Lytechinus pictus: one gene and its partner. The main gene of each other region encodes a partner of the protein of the gene in region 2 in a complex. Links are inferred from orthologs where the notes say so. Each region holds a gene or a part of one and is shown on either strand. Other genes may lie near its edges.

The links. The genes of interacting proteins can lie anywhere in the genome.
Region 1: the proteins of myosin-VIIa-like (region 2) and harmonin-like are in contact, whole or in part, in a crystal structure (PDB 5MV9), measured with the Homo sapiens proteins. The link is inferred for Lytechinus pictus from reciprocal best matches to the Homo sapiens genes MYO7A and USH1C. Residues at the interface, in NP_000251.3 of Homo sapiens: Phe1946, Val1953, Ala1976, Lys1995, Lys1996, Trp1998, Gln2017, Pro2020, Lys2021, Arg2024, Tyr2026, Ser2112, Ala2113, Phe2114, Phe2115, Glu2116, Val2117, Lys2118, Ile2128, Ser2161, Gly2163, Asn2164, Thr2165, Tyr2166, His2168, Leu2181, Glu2183, Thr2184, Ser2185, Leu2186; in NP_001284693.1 of Homo sapiens: Glu450, Pro456, Ile457, Val461, Val462, Ser463, Tyr466, Glu467, Lys479, Gly480, Pro522, Tyr526, Asp527, Asp528, Glu529, Leu530, Thr531, Phe532, Phe533.

Annotation. Positions count from the first base shown.
Region 1 is NC_087253.1:25,237,854-25,245,086, forward strand, and holds the start of harmonin-like, read left to right. Parts: upstream 1-3,472; 5' UTR 3,473-3,714; coding exon 3,715-3,792; intron 3,793-4,972; coding exon 4,973-5,040; intron 5,041-7,233. UniProt on the Homo sapiens protein: Anchoring/scaffolding protein that is a part of the functional network formed by USH1C, USH1G, CDH23 and MYO7A that mediates mechanotransduction in cochlear hair cells. Required for normal development and maintenance of cochlear hair cell bundles.
Region 2 is NC_087260.1:11,317,375-11,324,607, forward strand, and holds the start of myosin-VIIa-like, read right to left. Parts: upstream 3,982-7,233; 5' UTR 3,535-3,981; exon of another isoform or gene 3,493-3,534; intron 1-3,492. UniProt on the Homo sapiens protein: Myosins are actin-based motor molecules with ATPase activity. Unconventional myosins serve in intracellular movements. Their highly divergent tails bind to membranous compartments, which are then moved relative to actin filaments.

The DNA of each region.
Region 1 (7,233 bases), on a different chromosome or scaffold from region 2:
AACTCCGACTTGCTTAAGATTTTAAACACTTGTTCACACTGTGAAACAAATATACTGTAGAGTTTATTTATTGACGCCCCCCCCCCCTTGTAGGGGGAGGGGGACATTGTGGGCATTTGACTCCCCCAAATTGTCTAAAGAAATAGTGAATTAAGAAACATGAACATCCACCCTTTTCCCCAACAGTTTATTTGCCATCCACTTGCCCTCCCCCTCTTTTAAGGACAAAAATGATGTCCCTCCCTTTCATCATTCTATCATAACTTGACTCTTTACCTATTATCATCATTTATTTCCCCCCTGACATTAGTTATAATATTACGTCTCCATGACAAAATCAAACAGCTGGCAGGGTTCCCTAAAGATTAGCCTTAGAAAGATGAAAGCGCACGCATTATTTCGAGAGAGCTATGTTGATGGTTATAAGAGGAGCGACATGTGCAGAATCATAATTCTCCTCGTACGCCCAACAAAAAGGACTTCGCACTTTGAACTCTCCGGTAGGGGGGACACCTGTGCCAGAAATCTACAAATATCATTCCACGTCAGTTAAATGCAATATATCACCGACCGTTTGAGTTGTATGATATCAATAGCCGTATTTACACGGGAGACATTGTTCTCATTCAGATCAATTCATTCGGAAACGTAAAGCTGTTGTATTCACAAAAGAGAACAATTCGGAATATAGATAATTTTACAATGGACCACGCAGTGACTCAGGACTTCAATAATAGGGTAAGAAACTTCAAATACGGTTTGTTAAAAAATAAGCATATTATTCATTCTTTTACTGGAAAAAATAATTTTAGTAATCATGCTTTGGATTGATACTAAATTTATGTAGAAGTTTGATACCAAATCATGTACGTTGTTTTAGCAATCTCGTCTCATGACGCATAAACAAAATTTCGATTGAAAATTGAAAATGTTCATTTATATTCAACAATGAATGATTTTATAATTAGTGCATGTCCCGTGCCCCCTTTTGAGAACCATAAATATATTTGTTAGTGCAAAACGTGCATGCGCAAGTCAAGTGAGGACTGCGTTTTGCTTGTCAAATTTTTCGTGACATAAATCACCATAATTAGGAAATGAAGACCTTCTTGGGGCAGGTTTTTTTTTTCTATATAAAAAAGCCCCCCTTTTCAAAAATTCTAGATCCGCCCCTGGTGGTTGGTTATATTTTCAAACACTAGCTTTCTTATTTCGTACAATTTTTTTTTTCATGGTATGCACTTTTATGGGCCGTCATGCTCTAATTAGCAAAAAGTATCTGAAAAATATAAAACAAAGAAAATGAAATAAGTAAGGTGTGATTTAATTCAAATTGATGCTTTCATCATGAGGTTTTAGTGATATATAGGCCTCTTTCCATATACTTTTATTATATTTCATTAGAGGCATTTGCATTTGAGACACGAGAAACAAAGTAGGCTTGTAATGGTAAAACTCGTCATTTTCCGATCAATATTTTTTGTGGAATTTTGACTCAATTATGGCGACAACGGTTGCTGTGTTTTTATTGATTTTTTTATAGCCCATAGTGTTATTCATATAATGTTATTCATATAAACATAAAAGATCACTCAGTTATCAAATAAATATTAAATTACATAAGAGCTAGGGAACGTGCAAGTTTGTTTGATAAAAATAACGTCAAGAATATAATTGTAACATTTCCATTTCCTTTCCATCAGTTCTATTTTATACTGCTTTTCTTTAAAATGTCAATTGTTAGTTTGCATCTGATTTATATTACCCTGTATTGTGTTTGAATGGCAATGAAATAATGAATTGAACTGGATATTATATAAGAAAAAGGATTCAGGAAAGACAACGTCCATGATAAAAAAAAACATGCTGTACAAAGTCTTTATGATATCCGTCTGGTCTTATTCATGCACATTCTTATTTCTGCTCCAACTTCTACAGCTGGCTTGGTCTAACATACACAACAAAGACTGTCGTGTTAACCGGTGTACATAGAGGACCATACCAGTTATTTTTCACCGGTGTTAAATTGACAGTGTTACAACACCTTTGGTTGTCACATCAACACCCTTTGGTGTTATGTTCAATCCCTAGGGTGTAATTTTAACACCTCAGGGTGTGGTCCTCTATTAACACCAACTGGTGTCAGTTTTAACACCTCAGTTTTTACAGTGTACCATTTATGGCATATTTATCATTTTTTTAATGGTTAACCATTGTTGCTAAAACAAAATTGTATACCAAAACTGGCGGATTCATTTTTTCTTACAGGGAGGGGCCTAAACAGAGGCCTATTTTTTCTTCAAAGATTTCAATATAGGTCTCCATAATGCGAACTTCCCGTCCGATGTTATTTTGACAAGCAAAATATAAAAAAAATAAGGGGTTATTACTCTAATACCCCTCTCCTTGAAGCCAGTGGGGTCCAGTGTTTTTGCATGATTTTCAGGGGGGGGGGGTTCTTTGTAAAAAAAAACGCCATTCTGGAATCCTTCCCCCGGCTGTACATTATATAATTGAAAATGACTGTAAACTGAACAGCGTGACATGACTTTTAAAGGAGAAATATATTGAAAATCGTAAAAATGGAGAATCATATATCAAATCAAAGGAGAAAATAAGGAGAACACGATGGTGTACATCATTTATCATAGAGACCGATGGAACTCAGTTAATTGATAGTTTAAAGTTCTCTCTCTAAATGCTTCAAACACGCAGAATTACGTCCGCGAAATTGGGGATTTTTTATGACGTCACTTTCTGTACGAGAGGCGTGTTTGGCTCTCCCACGTGAAGCTCCACTTGCATGCAAAACCTGTTGCGAGGGTACGTTTTCTCCACATTGTCACTGAATACTTCGATCACGAAATGAAAGAAAACCCAGAATTTTATCTAGATTTGGATTTTCAAATTGATGATTTTGAAGATGAAGAGAATGATGATGAAGTGAACAACAAAGTGACGTAGTTGGGGGTAAATTGGGGGAATCGATGATGAGGAGTCGGACAATTCAACTTGCAACACGATCACATGCCGATTCGCTACCAACTCATGCAGCTGCTAAGTGCTAGCTACACCGCGCGTGCCAAATTGAATTCACGAAAATGACTTGCCACACTGTCCAGACAGAGTCTCTTACTTCTGTGACTATGAAGAAGGAAAATAATGATTAAAACTGTACTTACAAATAAGTGAATGTAATCCGAACCTGAAGGCAAATCAACTCAACGAATAGCAGCAGACGATATGCACCGATGATAAAATTCATGTGGCTGGGATAGATTGTCACTCGTTCTGTTAGATGTAATTTTTATCTCATTAATTTGACAAAATTACGAAACTCGGGGAATTATTTATCTATATAAAAATATAGTAACATCTCGTATAATTTTTAAATTACGATAAAACGTTTTTTGAAGGAAAACATTGAGGTAAATTAAAATTAGATGTAAAAGATCCCCAACATGCGTAGCTTGATTGAGAGCTGTGCAACACGTGCATAGATCTACTCTCTCAGCCACGGCGAGCAAGCAATACGGCATGTTTGTGATTTTGAATACGATCACATATACGAGCTTTTAAAAGGTTTTATCGTAATTTAAAAAATAATACGAGATGTTACTATATTTTTATATAGATAAATAATTCCCCGAGTTTCGTAATTTTGTCAAATTAATGAGATAAAAATTACATCTAGTGACAATCTATCCCAGCCACATGAAGTTTATCGTCGGTGCATATCGTCTGCTGCTATTCGTTGAGTTGCCTTCAGGTTCGGATTACATTCACTTGTTTGTAAGTACAGTTTTATCATTATTTTCCTTCTTCATAGTCACAGAGGTAAGAGACTCTGTCTGGACAGTGTGGTAATTCATTTTCATGAATTCAATTTGGCCCGCGCGGTGTAGCTAGCACTTAGCAGCTGCATGAGTTAGGTAGCGAATCGGCATGTGATCATGTTGCAAGTTGAATTGTCCGACTCATCATCATCGGCGTAATTCCCCCAATTTACCTCCAACTACGTCACTTTGTTGTTCATTTCATCATCATTCTCTTCATCTTCAAAATCATCAATTTGAAAATCCAAATCTAGATAAAATTCTGGGTTTTCTTTCATTTCGTGATCGAAGTATTCAGTGACAGTGTGGAGAAACCGTACCCTCGCAACAGGTTTTGCATGCAAGTGGAGCTTCACGTGGGAGAGCCAATCACGCATCTCGTACAGAAAGTGACGTCATCAAATTCAAGTCAATTCAGAGACCGATGCGAGGCATATTTCGGAGAGGCATTTTGAGCGTTTTTTAATCGGCGATTTTCACCTTATGTATTATTTTCGTTATTTTTGAATGACCCACTGATAATCCCCACATCATTACCTTTCCATTGACATATAATAAGACCACATTCATAATCAATATAGTTCTCCTTTAAGTTTAGACAGCTCATCAGTATTTAGGATAATACTAATCGAATTAATAACAAATTAGTGATGAGTCATCACTAATTTGTTATTAATTCGATTAGTATTATCCTAAATACAAATATACTTTCGCATTGTTTGTCATTGTACTTCTAAGCGAAGGTAATGTAAATTTGATGATAAGCGGAGCACGTTGGCCTGAAAGTACTTTAAAAATGTCATTCCTTAGACGATTTTGATTATTTTCAGTGCTTTGTTTGTCCGATTTTACTTTATCTGTTCAAATAATGTCATTTTTTACTATTACTACTACTACTACTACTACTACTACTACTACTACTACTACTACTACTACTACTACTACTACTATACTACTACTAGTACTACTAGTACTACTACTACTACTACTACTACTACTACTACTGCTACTACTACTACTTCTACTACTACTTTATAATTAATTGAATCGTGATACTTTTTCTTTGTTTGAACATAAATTTGTTTTATGTCAGTGGTTTAATTATGTTTTCAATCCATCTCTCTCTATCCACCCAGGTGAGGGCTACTCTTGAGTACGAGAAAGACCAGGCCCAGCTTTACTCACAACTAAAAAAATACAAGCAGTAAGTATTTTTAAAGGCCACTGAAATTGTTCCGGGAGGGGCAGGACGCGTACAATTTTTCGAAGAAACTCGAAAGCGAAGGAACGAAGCGACCAAGCTATTTATTGGGGCGCTTTGCATTTTTAAAGGTGAAAAATTAAGGATTTTGTACACAGTTTTGGTGGATTTTGCGAAAGTTTGAAGTAAAAAAATGTAGATTTTCAAAACTTCTGGGGGCAGCTACCCCCGCCGCCCCCGTTGCCTAAGACCATGTTCTTGCACCCCTCGCTGCCTTGGTTCACCCCCTTTTTCTCCTTACTGGTCCCTCAATCTCACGACTTCACAAACAGTTGACTACCCCCCCCCCCCCCTACAAAACAAATCAATAAATCAATAAAAAATGTTTTAAGATCAAAAAATTAATTTCCCTTTTTTTGAATCTTTGAAAGCGACTATTTCGAATTTAATTTGGAAAAGAGGTATACTTTGATCGGGGGTCTGGGGCCCATTTGATTAAGACTTATTATCATAACAAATGCAAAATTGCTATAGGCTAACAAGTTTGCCAATCACATTGAATGATTTGAGTAGCTAAAAATATTACTGCAAATAATTGTTATGAATTAAGTTTTATGAAACGGGCCTCTCAAACAGGTTCGTCGGTAAAAGGAGTTATCGTTTTCTCGCCATATGGGGAGAATATAGGGTCTATGTCGTTCATATTACCATAGTTCTATATAAAACAAAACAAATAAATAAATATCACGATATCGTCACAAATGTCATGCTAAATCTAAGATGATCACCAACTGTCGAGAAAAGGAATTTAAAGTAAGGTTGGTGAAAGATGAATCTATTAGGATTCAGGCAGTTTATATCGTCGATGATAGCTTCAAGCCGAAAAGCAGTCGTGCTAAAAACACAATAATTATTATGGGATAATGTATTTCAGATATAAAAGTTCAATGTGCAAAGTTTGAAGTGCGTCTGTTCTCTCTCGTAATTGCTTTTCTAAAATCTGTTTAACGTCGTCATCTAAAAGGGAACATTCATCTAAAGTGAGCCGTTTGTGGAGGTCATTGTGGAGAAAGGACATGCTTATTAAGAGAACAATACGGAATATATGAAATGACATCTCATTAATTCCATTGAGCATTTATGACTCGTTTTCAGAATGTACAAAATTCAGCTTCGTTAACCATGCCTTAACAAAGTAATATGATTTGGAACAAAAACGAAATAAGTTTTGACTGCTTGTGAGCCTTTAACAACATTTTTGCTCAGTCGACACTTTGATCGCCTTATCTAGTCTGATTTTATCTTATTCAACCTTATCTTATCTTATTTTGTCGCATATTTTTTTCTTCTTATATCATCTAACTTTTCTTGCCTTGTCTTATCTGATCTTATCTTATCTATCTTATCTAACCTAACTTATCTTGTCTTGTCTTATCTTATCTTTATATTATCTTATACGTTACACTATCTTACTCTAGGTGGTTTCAGACCGCCTCGAAGTTCGCCAGTTCCAGGTATTCTCTGATCGGGAAATTTACCCCGATCAGAAAATACCAGGTATTTTGGCGGTGTGAAAGCAAACTACGCGTAATATCCCCGAAAGAAAATACCCGATAAATAGTAGGTACTTGGCGAAATTACGAGAACTTTCGCGGGGATTTTTCCAAGGTCGTGGGTATTTTGGCGGTCTGAAAGCAAATTACGGGAACTTTTAGCCCAGCGTGTCGTTAGGTGCGGCGCCGTGCATGGGTTGCTGCTGGGCTAGTGATTTTGAATTTCGCGCCTTGCTGCTTATCAGACCATACTGCGCATGCTCGTAACTTCAGGAACTTATCCCGAAGGGTATGTTTCAGGGCGGTGTGAATGCAGGAATAATTAATGGGTATTTTTCAGCTTAAAAAAGTTCTCGTAATTTAACGGGGATTCTATGAGGCGCCGAATGTACCAATATTATATAGAACAATTATTTGTTATATAATCATTATTTATTAAATAATAACTATTATTTATATATAATTTACATTTTATTTGTAAATAACTACTATTATATAAAATATCATTTCTAATTATTTATATATAATTCCAAGTAATACTTCATTATTTGTAAATAATAATAGTTCGACATTCCATTATTTATAAATAATGATTATTTGTTTTTCATTATTTATAAATAATGATTATTTGTTTTTCATTATT
Region 2 (7,233 bases):
TTCCAATTATTCAAAAAGAATTATTTTTAGGATGACCAGGATGAATAATTGAATAATTCTTGGGGGATGGGGGTTAAAATAGAAGGAAGTACATTGTGAGTCATATTACAAAATCTTTTCAATAATTTACTCAGCCGATTCATAACTTTTCCACATACTGTACATATGTAATAACACCCATAAAAAGACAAAAACAGTAATAAATTTAAGGTCCTTAGTACTTACAGTGTGTGTACTGTACAACTAATGAAACTGTGTGTGTTATTTCTGTCACAAATTCTGACAAATGTTTCAAGAAAGAAATTCTAGAATTGTACAAAGAGAATGAGTATATCTAAAGTAATTAATATTCATTCAATCCATTATAACGGCTATCCATTCAATTCATTGCATTTTTTATCCACCATATTCATGTACTTTGAAAGCTCAAAGGTCTACGATTTTGTTTGATATATAAACTAGATGGGCTGTCCTCTTTTCTTGAGTAAACAATTAGCTTTTATTCATGGAAATAGCCATGTCATGTTGAGGGGATAACTTCCCAGTTCTTTGCGAAAAAAACTGTTATATTTTGTACTTTGTTCTCTACAAAGAAATAGAAGTTTGTTTTTAGATGAAAATGATTTTGTTTATTATGCAATACTGAAAACATATGTGGAGCTTGAATGAAAGTTATATCACTGTAATCTAATGACTAAAATATTAATTTCTTAAGGTACTTTCACCTTAGTTATATTCATGTATAATAGTTGAAATATCATTGTATTGCAATACAAAAGTTATTGTAAATATAGCAAAAAGAAATTAGAAGAACAAAGTCATATGAATTTGAATTGTTTTTCCTTTTGCTTTCATAATGAAGAAAAATATTTCAATTATCATTCCCAGACAATTATGAATAATTTGAGTGTCCAATAAGTTCATAAATTGAATGTGTACTGTTAGGGATTTTTGCCCCATTTGGCTCTCCATACTTAAACCACAACTTTAAACCAGGGTTCAGTTTTAATAAACCCGAGTTCAGAATACGGGCCATATTGTTTTCAGTCCCCAGAAGAAACTACCAATTCCTGTGGGATTTTATTATACTCAAATAAAATGGCCATGCATAGATGTGGAAAAAAGAAATATTGGACATAATAAAGTAGGCCTACACATATTCAGAGCTGCCAAGTTGTATTTTGCATTTTCATTATTCTTATCCCCCAAAATCAGTATTTTGACAAAAAAATTTGACAAAATTTTGACAAAAAAATTTACCGTGTGAGATAAATATTTTGTATTTTTCCCCCCAAAAGTGTATTTCATAATAAAATGCTTGGCGCACTCGCCCATCACGGCGCTCAAGCTGCATGCAAGCTAAAATGTGCACTGCTCTTGCAGATGAAAAAAAAAAACATTGAAACTTGTGTATATCTCACCCTGGTTTTTACAAAATGATTGAAAAAAAAAAAAGAAGTTACCTGAAATTACATTGATCTAATAACCATATTTGTGTACGTTTTATGAAATAGAGACATATAGAGATGATTTTTCTCAATAAATTTTTATTTTGTAAAAAAAATAAATAACGTACTACTTGGCAGCTCTGCATATTCATTCTTTTAAAAATAAATGTATTGTACATTTTGTACTTGTTGGATTGCAAGGTAGATCTGTAATAAAAACAAATTTGACACCTTGTTCACATGGGACTAATAAAGCAATAATAACACAATAATAATGACTTAATCAGATATACATGTACGAGACAAACACGTACGGTAAGATAATTAGATTTTTAATTATCTGTGTTGCTACTGTACACTGGTACAAACGGAAATGTACAAATGTAATAGTGATATTGAAATATCTAGATATGAAATTAACTGGTCTTGACAGGAACATCAAATAATTATCAAATAATTGCCTGCAAAAGAGAATCATATATCCTAAATCGCTATGGGGGCAGTCCAAACGTTAGCAGCAATAAGTTCATTTTCCCTAAAACCAAGTGTCGGTCAATTATTATACCGTACAGTTGCAAATACTAAACAATTGGTTTCCAATATTCTTATTTTGTAGTGCTCATTAAACTAACAATTTTGTATCTGCTAGGCTGTCAGTCCTCTGGAAAATGTTGGCATATCAATTATAATAGGCCTATACAATAAACTTTGACATGTACAGTGACTAAAATGCAACATTTGGTTCTTTGGTTCATTATGAAAGTGAACCAAGAAGAGAGGAAACGATAAAAAGGGAGCTTTTGAGGGGAAAATATGAATGAACATGGCAAACATTTTGGGGTAGTGTGCAGAAGTTTTTGAAATTACAGCTATTTGCCTTGTTGATTGTATTCTTTTTAAATCATGATGAACAAAAAAAGGCTATATCAATATCAAAATTCTTCACACACTCATGATAAAACCTTGGAAAGTATTCTTTTTATTATGCCAGAAGGGAAAAAAAGAGTTTCAACAGTCCAGTAGGATATCATAGAAAAATTTGCAGGTCAATTTTCAAATGTGACATAAATTTTTATCAAATACTGGGCATCAGCAGAAAAGCAAGACAAGGCAAGATTGATCAATTCCTTGAATTTCTCAGCATGAAATGAGATACAATTACCCTTCTGAACTTAGAACACATAACTAACACATTATACAGAATATGCCAATTAATGGTGAATTTGTTTGCATATGAACGATGCGATGAAGATTGTACTGATCAAAGAGTTCAGTGAAGTTTGTTTAGTTTACTTTAGATAGTGGTAAAACCACACATACCACCCTCTAAATAAATAAATTTATAACTTTATATATGAATATATTATGCTATACCAAATGGGAAATGTATCAAAAGTATATTACATCCATAAATACATCATGAATGTTCTGATTCACTTATACGTTGAAAGTACATTATATCCCTGGTAGGAACGCATTTAAAACTTAATTCTTATCACTGATAAAAAACTTGAAAAGTGAAGATCAAAGTATTTTGTTTAAATACTAAGTTTAAAAATCAAATACCTGTGCAATTGAATATAAATACTTTGTATTGTAATGTCTACTGTGGTAAAATACTAAAATGTGATAGAATTTGAGTGGAATGTCTTTTTTTCATGAATAATATTACCAGGTGATAACACAGTAAACTTTGATGGGAAATTACAAAAATGCATGTTGTTTCATTACATGTACATAATTATTTACAATATCTGTAGTAGTAGTAGTACTTAATTTAACAGAATAGATTAATCAATTATATGCTATAATGAAAGAAAACGGAGAAGGTACCTGTTTCCAGATGGCCAATATTTTCATTATTTCTGCTTAAAACTCTGATCTCTACTTTTACTATACATACAACCTCTGTAGCTATATGTATCACCAAGCTATCTTTTCCAATTTATCTTTTCCAATTTACTCAAAATAAGTATTAACAACAATACACTAAAAGGTAAACTAAACATTGACAATCATCAACCCACTTAGAGTTATTACTTGCCATTAAAGGTGGTCAATTAAGCCCAGTAGCCCAGTCACTCACGTAATTAAATCCGATGTTATCTCTCTCCGATGACCAAATTAACAAACACTCCCCCTTCCGCTTAAAGTTCAATACCAGCCGGTTAGTTGTTGTCGGTGTCGGTCTTTTGCCAATGTGGCAGTGCTGAACTGACTGAACAAATCTCTCTCTTTCTTAATACAGAGATAGACACACACACACCACTAAGAAAACATGCAGCTGGACCACTATGGCTAAGTTCTCAAAGAATACACAATAGTTCTATTCTATGCAAGAATGGATCCTCCTATATTGCAGCGCACGATACTCCCCGGCTTCCCCCCTTTGGTTTAGTGGTAGAAGGTTCATGTATTTCATGCATTGCCATTGGAGCGAGCACACTTGGTATGTACTCTGAGGGGTGCTGCCCAAGCTTTGGGCTGGGCACACAACCAAGAACAGGGGTGTATGCGTAATAAGAGCGAGGGTGAGGGGAACAATAGGCGGCATACCTATATGACAATAGGAGAGCTCAACACAAATATATGTGACTCACTACACAAGGGACACAGTTCAGTGGGCATAGGGCGAGAATAGTCTCCGGAATCAGACCGTCATGTTATTATATAATTATCATCCAAATGGTTGTAAAGTTTATATCGTTAAACTCATCTCCATCCACTAATGTTAAGTTGTTAACAATAAAGTTGTTATGAATTCTTTTTTTTTTGGAACTTTAGATAAAAGTATCGGTTAGCATAATGTGCCCTGAGTGTCGATCTGGGAGACAAACAACAATGGACTTGATTTCTCTTTTTATTCTATCATTTTTGCTTGTAATCTTTATGGGAGAGGTGACGATGACACAAGTTCTTGCCAACAAGAACCTTTTTTGTTCTTTTTTTTTTTTAATCCCACACAAAATGGAAGTACCCTATTAAATAAATCCAGGGCCCACCCTTGCTTGAAAACATATTAAAACATTAGGGCATAAATATATAAAAGCCAAGTTCAAAACAATTTTTTTTCAGACTTGGAGTGTGAGATAATAGATATATGTATAGTAAGTCTACATCTCCCTAAGATAAGACACATTCAACTTGTTAACACTCGATACGAAATGTTATAACAAGTACATGTAGTATGCCACTGAAATAATTATAGCTTCAAAACTGAGAATTGGAAGTAAGTTATATAAAACAAATGCTGACTTAAGTTAAAGTTGATAAGATTCTTTTTATTGTTCAACTTTAAAACTTAACAAATATTACTGGGTCATGGGCAATAAAGGTGACTTCCAGAGTCATTCTAAAGTTTAATATATGAAAATAATGCATACACCTGTAGGGAGGGAGGAAATGATATTCTTGTGATTTTTCTGGCTTGAAAATTATTTTTCCCATGATTAGGATATTTAAAGCGAAAACTTACAAATGATTATAGTTTGCAAATTTGATAGACGCTTATGAAGGAAGGAAATAAATGTAACTTAATGAAATCACTAAGGATAAAACATTTTGCATTGATCCTGAAATTCTGAAGTATATTTTACGGACCAAAACAAGAATTTCAATGACGAAGCAGTAGTCAACAATAAAACAGAGTCTGAAGTGCAAGACTAGAAGTAAACTGTGAAAGAGGCGAGGCAGTTTTGCACCGGGTGAACTTTGCACAGTTTTTATTTATCTCAGATAGGATGATCATCATTCTAAACATCTTCATAATATCTGCCTCGTATCATCGAATGCAAAACATGATTAGACTAAGTTGATGTGCTGCCAGACTGAAGCATCATGGGCCTGTTTCATATTTGCGATAACAGTCAAAAGCTACTGAAATACTGAAATTTGATTGGCTGACTGATGACAGTAAATTTGTAATAGAAACTACAGGTGAATTTGTTGTTATAACATGTCTATTTGAAACAGGGCCCAGATGTAAAATTGCTGAAATAGTTGAAACTGTATAAATTCAAGCTTACTATTATGCTGAGAAACATTAGTCCAGGATAGGCCCCGTAGAAACTTGACCAAACCTTGTTTTCTTATATATACAATATTTTTTAATGGTTTCTTGTCAATTCGAGGGTGCTGATTACGAATCTGGATGATGCCACTCGTGTAACCTTGAGCATTTTCCGCAAATTGGCGAAATCAAATATGGCCGCCAAAATATGCAAATTACCCATAAAAATCCTAAAATTGTCCGCACATTGGCTATGAAATGCATGAAATCGTGTAGCAGGAGTGAAATACTCTCTGAAAAAAATAATTTTTGACAAAATATTTATTTTCTGATATTCAAAGTGGCCGCCATAGGCCCTTGTATACTCTATTATGTACAATATGAATAGGGAAAACTAATTTTCACAAAAATGAGCACTAAACCGCAAAAAAATTGTGATGTATGAACGAAGTAATATATGCAAATCATCATTACTAACAAGATATATCATTTATTATGTCATATATGGGGATATTGCTGTATTTTGATATCTAAAAGCCCCCACTGGCCCAAGAGTATTATGTACAATGGCAATGACCGGGGTCCAAAAAAATGACAAGAGTGAGCACTAAAATGCATATTATTAAGATAAACGAGTGGAATACTGACTAAAAGCATAATTGCCATCATTGCCATTAATATACCATTTATGTGATAAATGCTGTATTTTGACATTCAAAATGGCCGCCATAGGCCCTATATTTATCATGTACAATGCGAAAGGAGAAACTAATTTTCACAAGAGTGAGAATCATAAAATGCATATAACTGTGATATACGAGTAAAAATATTGTCTTAAATATGATTTCTAAGTGAATAGATCACATATTGGTCGTGGAGGTAATAAATGCAGTACTTTGAAATCCAAAATGATTGCCATAGGTCCTAAAAGTATTGTGTACATTGTAACATGGGACATATAATTTTGACAGAATTTGGCTTTGCTTGACTCTAAATATTGCATATAATTGTGAATTGTGAAAGGGTGAAATATTGTCTAAAACCATGGTTTCTACCGAGATATATCATATCATGTGTAATTAAGTTGATAAATGCTGCATTTTAAAATTGAAAATGGCCACCATAGGCCCTTAACGTATAATATACAATATGAGTGGAGACAAATAATGTTCACAAAAAGGGCATATGGCAGCCATTTTGAATGTTGAAATACAGTATTTATCACCTAAATTACATAGGATATGATATATTTTGTTATAAATCATGTTTTCAGACAATATTTCCCTCATACATCACCATTTGGCCAAGCAAAGCCAAATTCCGTTGAAATAATTTGTTCCCATTCACATTGTGCATAGTATCATAAGGGCCTGTAGCGGCCATTTTGACTTTTTAATAACAGTATTTATCACCTAACTGGCAGAATAAATGATATATCTTAATAGAAATTATGCTTTCAGACAATATTTTACTCATAGATCACTATTACGTGCATTTATGGTGCTCACTCTTGTGAATATTGGTTTCCCACTTTGCATTGTACATGATACTGTTAATGCCTATGGCGGCCATTTTGAAAATAAAAATACAGTATTTAACACAAACTTGAAACCTGAATGATATATTTCGTTAGAAAATATGTTTTTAGACAGTATCCCATTAATTTATCACATATATATGCATTTTAGTGCTCTCTCTTGTGATTTCTTTGCTCCTCTTTCTCATTGTGCATAATACTTTTAGGGCCTTTGGCAGCCATTTTGAATATCAAAATAA